Linked DNA regions of Mus musculus. The protein of the gene in region 1 interacts with the protein of each later gene in a pairwise test. Links are inferred from orthologs where the notes say so. Each region holds a gene or a part of one and is shown in the gene's direction. Other genes may lie near its edges.

The links.
Region 2: the proteins of Sf1 (region 1) and Sf3a1 interact in binary tests that used the Homo sapiens proteins (3 or more experiments, as listed by UniProt). The link is inferred for Mus musculus from reciprocal best matches to the Homo sapiens genes SF1 and SF3A1.

Annotation. Positions count from the first base shown.
Region 1 is NC_000085.6:6,362,139-6,366,052, forward strand, and holds the start of Sf1 (splicing factor 1), read left to right. Parts: upstream 1-1,551; 5' UTR 1,552-1,949; coding exon 1,950-1,980; intron 1,981-2,381; exon of another isoform or gene 2,382-2,568; intron 2,569-3,525; coding exon 3,526-3,654; intron 3,655-3,914. UniProt on the Homo sapiens protein: Necessary for the ATP-dependent first step of spliceosome assembly. Binds to the intron branch point sequence (BPS) 5'-UACUAAC-3' of the pre-mRNA. May act as transcription repressor.
Region 2 is NC_000077.6:4,177,258-4,180,415, forward strand, and holds part of Sf3a1 (splicing factor 3A subunit 1), read left to right. Parts: intron 1-155; coding exon 156-363; intron 364-813; coding exon 814-968; intron 969-1,883; coding exon 1,884-1,985; intron 1,986-2,096; coding exon 2,097-2,168; intron 2,169-2,776; coding exon 2,777-2,878; 3' UTR 2,879-3,158. UniProt on the Homo sapiens protein: Component of the 17S U2 SnRNP complex of the spliceosome, a large ribonucleoprotein complex that removes introns from transcribed pre-mRNAs.

The DNA of each region.
Region 1 (3,914 bases):
TGGAACTCACTCTGTAGACCAGGCTGGCCTCAAACTCAGAAATCCTCCTGCCTCTGCCTCCCGAGTGCTGGGATTAAAGGCGTGCGCCACCACCGCCCTGCTGTCCAGCACTCTTAACTGCCGAGCTGGCCCCTCCTCTGCTTAGGTTGATAGGTTTCTTGGGTATTACAGTTGGCTTTTCTACTTTCACATGTCTGCTGATGTAATCTGGGAGTTACATGTGCTAGGTTCTACCACTCAATTGTATTTTCTGCCCAGACATTTGCTCTTTCTCTGTTCTATGGCCATTTCCTCCCTACCTGTCATAGTCTGTTGACTTGTACCATCCACCATACTTGAGTTTCTTATCTTTGTAGTCTCTTTATTCCTAGATTACTCCAAACCTTCTGTTGTCTACATGTCTACTTTTCTACATCATTTTAAAAGATTACTTAGTCTTATGTATATGGGTGTTTTGTCTGCATATAAGTCTGTGCACCATATATATGCAGTGCCTGTGAGGCCAGAAGAGGGTTCTGATATCCTGGGACTGAAGTTACGGATGGTTGTGAGTCACCATTTAGGTTCTAGGAATCCAACCTGGGACTCTGGAAGAGTAGCCAGTGCCTGGTCTTATCTGCTATTTCTCTAGCCACTCTAATTACATATTAAACACTGTTTCCCCTACTGGGTCTAAATAACCTCTCTGTGAGAACCCTATCTATCCCCAGTTCTATTATGTTGTGCTAACCTGTTTCATTACTCTCATGTTTATTTCATGGGAAGGAATGTTTGGCCTCAGTCTCATTTACAAGTTCCCTACCATTTTTATGGGTAATTTTAAGGTACCCGAAACAAATTTCCAACGCATTGAGATTTCCCTGGAAGTGCACACTTTTAGACTAACTTTTGAAATGACTTTCTCTCCCCTCTCCAAGAAGGACTTGGAGCGCCTGACTTTTCCTTTACAAGAGTTAGTATGTGCCATTGAACCTGGATTTTTTGAGACAGATATACTGTACCCCAGGTTAGCCCCAAACTCATGTCAGCTCTCCTGTCTCAGCCTTTCAAGTTCTCGGGTGACAGGCTACTTGGCTACCTTGTACCGGAATGAAATAAAGTCTTTAAATACACCCACCAACTACCCTAGTTTTGAGCCATTTCGTAACACTATTTTTCAGAGAAAACAGGAAGTCTTTCTCTACTCTACCTGCAGCTTCGACGTATCCTGTTCGTCAGCTCGAGCCCGCCCCTTCGCCGCGGTCCCTAGTTACCTCTAGCACAATGACTAACGTCACTTAAGGCCTCCGTTCCGCCCCTCTGGGGAAGGGGGCGGGGACACGCGTGCCCTCCCTACGCATGCGCACCCCTGCTCTCCGCCTTGGTTCCGGCTTCTCCTCCCGGCTTTCTCCATTCTCGAGCGGCTGGCTCCTGGGGGAGGGGAATCGTTTCAGCCAATCGTGTGGCACTACGACGCCGAGGCGCTTACCTCCATCGGTTTCAGCCAATGAGCTAGCCGTTCTCTCACGTCACAGACTTTGCCCCCTCCTATTCCCCTGCCACTCTGGCCTCAGTCCGCGCAGTAACAAGGAGTGCGCGCTGCGACACCTCCCAGTTCCCCCGGCCCCGCCGCCATTTCGTCGCCGGGCCTAACGGTTCGGCCAATCCCGACCCATATTGAAAAGAGCCAGTGCTCCACCAATCGGAGGCCGCTGCCTCCGACCTCACCTCGGGCCGGCCCAATCCAGGCCGCGGCCCCTCCGCCCCGAGCCCGCCCCCGCGGCGTCCTTTCTCCTCCCTCTTTGTGCGTCTGGCGCCGCCGCCGCCCGCCGCGTGAGAGGACGGGCTCCCCGCGCTCTTCAGCCGCGTAGTCGGGTCCCCTCCCCCCCACCTCCAGCTCCCGGAAGGTTCGTGAAGGAGAAGTCGCCGCGGAGGACGAGGAACCGCTGCTGCCGGTCCCCTGGGGCGCCATGGCGACCGGAGCGAACGCCACGCCGCTGGGTAAGCTGGGCCTACCAGGCCTTTCCCCACTTCCTGGGCCCAGAGGCAGCTTCAAGCCCAGCCTATTGGCGCTCGGGACGCCGCTGCCGGGGGCCCTAACCACGGCCTTGTCCTTAGCGGCGGTGCCGTCACCGCCGCCGCCCCCGGCCTCGTACCCGCCATAGCAGCCGCCCCCGCGCCGCCGCCGCTCTTTTCAGCGAGGGTCGCCTCCGCGCCAGGACCAGCAGCCGGGCCAGCCCGGTGGCGGCGGAGGTGAGTCGGGCCGATAGAGCGCGAGAGTCGTCGGGCGAACCGAACCGGCCGACGGAGGGGCAACGCCACCGCGGTTGGACGCGGCGAGGACGCGCGCGCGCGCACGGGAGGCCCGGGCGGACGCGCCACGGGGAACGCGCGGCCTGGTTTGGGAGGCTTCGATTGCGCACGCGCACCGCGAGAACCAGAAGGGCGGGAGGAAGCGTTCTTCGCGCAGACGCAGTGAGGCGTTCAGGCTTTGTGGCGCAATTGTGGTAGTTTTGGAAGAAGCCACCTGTTGCCCCCTGAGCTCCTGCTATGGAGGACAGGAGAGTCAGGTCCACGGGACGACGTGGTGTGAGTGGCTCCCTTGATGGTTTTTAGCAGCCCCGTGGCAGGAGTGTCTCCTTTCACAGTGAGGCGAGTTCGGAAGGCTACTAGGGATGCTTGAGTTCGATCATTTATTAAAGGTTTTCTCCTTTTGTTTTCTAGAAGGTTCTCAGAGTGACCAGCTTTCCCCGTGCTGTTTTAAAAGGCTTTTTCTCTGGGCCTGTAATCTGAGAAGTAGAAAACCTTGTGTGGTAAATGTAGGGAAGAATGTAATAAATCAGAGTTCTGATGACAAGTGTCCACTGGTCAGGAAAACTGATCTTTCCACGAGTAAGAATGGTCATATTGAAGGATGGCATGTTTCCCACAGTAATGTGTAGCAAGAGATTTGTTGTGTACTCTTGTAGCTTGAGTTCCAATGCTTTGTGGGCCTCATTCCAGTTTCCTCTTTTCTGCCCTTTAAGGCATTCAGAATTGATAATATGTATCTGTACACTTCTGATTCTGGGTTTCTGTGCATTAAGTCTTGGAAGCAAGGGCATGATGGTTCATGCTTTTAATCCTAGCACTCTGGAGGCAGAGGAAGGTGGGGCTTTGAGTTTGATGCCAGTCTACATAGTTTAAGACTGCCAGGGTTCTCTAAAGGGACTTCTGTCTCAAAAAACAAACAAAAGATCCAAAGAGTTGGAGATATGCATCAGTGGTAGAGCTCTTACCCAATATATGCAAAAACTCTGATGTTAACACTACAAAAGAAATGTGTTCCTTGTTACATTCTCTAGTATTTTCGTTTTAAAAGAACTAAATGTGAACTGTTCCTTAACTTTCCTGACAGGAGGATCTTTAAAATGGCTGCTTGTTTTCTCTGACCTCTGAGATTTCTTTCTTTTTAAAAATTTAGGTGATTTCAGTTTAGTTTTAATTATCATGAACTGCTTGCCTTCTGGTTCATATTTCTGCCTGATGGGCTCTGTCTGTCTTTAGACTTCCCAAGTAAGAAGAGGAAGAGGAGCCGATGGAACCAAGACACAATGGAGCAGAAGACAGTGATTCCAGGCATGCCTACAGTTATACCCCCTGGACTGACTCGGGAACAGGAAAGAGCTTACATAGGTAAATACACGTTCTACATCCAGGTGCATCTTCAGATTGTTACTGCAGATTGTTCTGAGTGATGAACCTGTTGAAAGTCTTAAGATTTTAGTCATGGGAACAAGGTGTGATGAGCTATGCTTTCATAGCTGTGTAATCCGTGATTTGCTTGGCCAGTCCTGCATTTGCAGCTTCTTGTTTGGGCCTGCTCTTAGCTCGGCAGCCCCCTTCTCAGCTGCTGTTCTTGCTCATTGGTGAGGTGAATGCTATCTTCCTCTCTG
Region 2 (3,158 bases), on another chromosome or scaffold:
AGCATCAAGTTTCTATCATTGGCCTGAGGTGAAACTTGAGTCTCAGTGATGAGCAGAGTCCAAGTTGTCCAACCCCCATCCTGAGTGACCAGTTGGTGTGTTCTTGAAGCTGAGCCTTGGCTTCCTGTGGCTTATGTGTCTCCTCCTACCCTCAGATGCCACCTCCAGTCCGCACCACTGTTGTATCTGCAGTACCTGTCATGCCTCGGCCACCCATGGCATCTGTGGTCCGGCTGCCCCCAGGCTCAGTGATTGCCCCCATGCCACCCATCATCCACGCACCCAGGATCAATGTGGTACCTATGCCTCCTGCAGCACCTCCCATCATGGCGCCCCGCCCACCTCCCATGATTGTGCCAACAGGTCGGTGTGTAGTGTTGCTTTCTCATCTCATGGGTTAGTCCATAAAGCTGTGGTTAGCCTTAATGATGGCTGTTCCCACTGAGTATCCATCCCAGAGGAAGTCTCAACTGGGACCTGGGAGCCATATTTCTTGTGAGAGACAAGAGACTGAGATGGCATAGCTAGTGTGTCTACATTTGGTGGTCGGGTCCTTGACAGGTCCAGAAGCCTGACAATAACTATTTTTTGGCTGACCTTGCACTGCCTCCCCTTTCCTGCTGCCTAATTCGGGCAGCCTCCCAAGGCTCCCTGCCAGGGAATGTGCTGAGTGACAGACTCATCAAGGCATGGCACTTCACACCTCTTACAGAGCAAAGCCTCGAAATCACCCGGCAAAATCTCCCTAGTCCTGCCTCTTGGGCCTCTTCACCTCTTCTGTACTCACTAGGCAACTGTTCCTTGTCCTTGCAGCCTTTGTGCCTGCCCCACCTGTGGCTCCAGTCCCAGCCCCAGCTCCAATGCCTCCTGTACACCCCCCACCTCCTATGGAGGATGAGCCTCCATCCAAGAAACTAAAGACCGAGGACAGTCTCATGCCTGAGGAAGAATTCCTGCGCAGGAACAAGGTCTGTGACCCAGGAAACTGCTTGTGCCCTGCAGTATCCGGCAGCAGCATGGGTTACCCAAGCCCCAGTTATGTACTATCCCATGCCTTTAGTTCCTGGGATGTCAGTCAGCCATACGAAGCTTCTGGGGATGTTTGTAATGTGAGGTCAGTAGCTGGGAGCTTGTGGTAGTGTGGACTCCTGTGGAGATGCGGCTGCTAAGACATTATCACAGGAGTGAGGTGACAGATCACTAAACCAGCTCTAGGAAGTCTCGCTCAGCACAGTTATTAAATTCAGATCTCTCTCTCCCTGCTCTGGGAAGGTGCTCATTGGAGTAGGATTCTGCTGGCATTCTGGAATAAGGACTCTATATTGGTACTGGTGGTCTCTGACAAAGCTGTTAGGCTTTGGTGAGAAGGCAGTGACAGTCCCAAGAGATTTGGCCCATAAATTTGACAAACTAGCTAATGTGTGTCTATTCTTTGAACACCTACCAAAGGTTCAGACTATTCTCTTTAGTGTTCCCACCAGTCTGTTTTGACACAGGCAAGCTTAGGTGTCTTGTCTGCTGAGTTTGAAACCAGTACTTCACAGACCATATCTTTACCCTGCTGGTCCTTGAGTTTGCAGAATTCAGTGGAATTTTAAGGAATATTTAAGGAATGGGAATGAAACAGTATGATAATATACACTTACAATCTCAGAACTCTAGAGGCAGGAAGTTTGAGGTCAGCCTAGGCTAGCCCTGACCCCTACCTTTAAGCCTGTCTAGAAAAATAAAGAAGAAATGAAGCCTGTGTAGTGTCACACCTGGTATCAGCAGTAAAGGGGTGAGAGGGGCAGGAGTCGTTGTTTGGATGAGCAACTGATAGCACAGCATAGTTCCTAATTGGCTTGGGGCTTTCCAGACATAATGAGCACTGCATTTTGCAGGGTCCAGTATCCATCAAAGTGCAGGTACCCAACATGCAGGATAAGACGGAATGGAAGCTGAATGGTCAGGGGCTGGTCTTCACTCTCCCACTCACAGACCAGGTATGTTTTGCCACCCCCAGTTGGTACAGGTGCTTTGGAGTCAGTGGGTTGGGTCAGCTTTTTCCAGATGGTCTTAACAAGAGAATGAATGAACTTTCTGTGATCCCACAGGTCTCTGTCATCAAAGTGAAGATTCATGAAGCCACGGGCATGCCTGCGGGGAAACAGAAACTACAGTATGAAGTAAGCAAGGGTCCTGCCCCTTAGGTTCCAATTCCTCTACCATCCCTGAAACAATCTGTAGAAAGTATGATGGAGAGAGACCTGGATGAGGCCATCCTAGAAGTGATCCAGCTGGAATGCGGGGGCAGGTGGACCTAATAGTGCTGGGTTCTGACAGCATAGTATAATTCGGGTCTAAAAGCCTTGGTCTCTGGATGGGGAGCAGACCAGTGATGGGATCTTAGGCAGCCTGGTTGTTTATGGAGGTGCAAAGGGGTATTCAGGTTTTCTGGGGCTTCCTCTCTTCCTGTGTGAAATAGGGTGTTGAAAAAGATAATCACTAAAGGTCTTTTGACCTGAGAAGTCAGCTGTGCCTTTTAGTTTGGTCATGGCTAATGTTTGGGAAGTTGAAAACTAAACCAAATGTTGACAAAGTTCCTTACTTTGCATCTGTTAGAAAGAAGGAAGGAAAAAGAGATGTTCTAGAAGAAGCCAAAGTTCCATACTTCGCTGACCTTCCCTTAAGCTTCCATAGTAGTGAAGTCTAGAATAGCAGTAAGCTCAGTTGTGTGAGGCTGCATGTGGTCAAAGACAGGTGGTGTCCATTAAGACATTTGTCTGTCTTCCAGGGCATCTTCATCAAGGATTCCAACTCCCTGGCTTACTACAACATGGCCAGTGGTGCTGTCATCCACTTGGCCCTCAAGGAGAGAGGCGGCAGGAAGAAGTAGCAAGAGATACTGCAATTGAAACCTTGCCATTGTACCTCTTTGCACCACCAATTCCAGGAGTGTCCCTGGGGCCTCAGGCACAGCCTGGGCATTTGTTTCCCTCAAAGCCAGTCTACGGAATGAATATCTTGTTTCAATTCTGGATTGGAGGTCCTTCAAGGAAGTCCATTAGAAGTTGAATACCCAGGGTTGTCCCACAGGACAGTTTCACACTATCGAGTGATGCTTAGTTAATAGAATATGGTTAATGCCATTCATCATTTTGTATCATGCTTTGGTT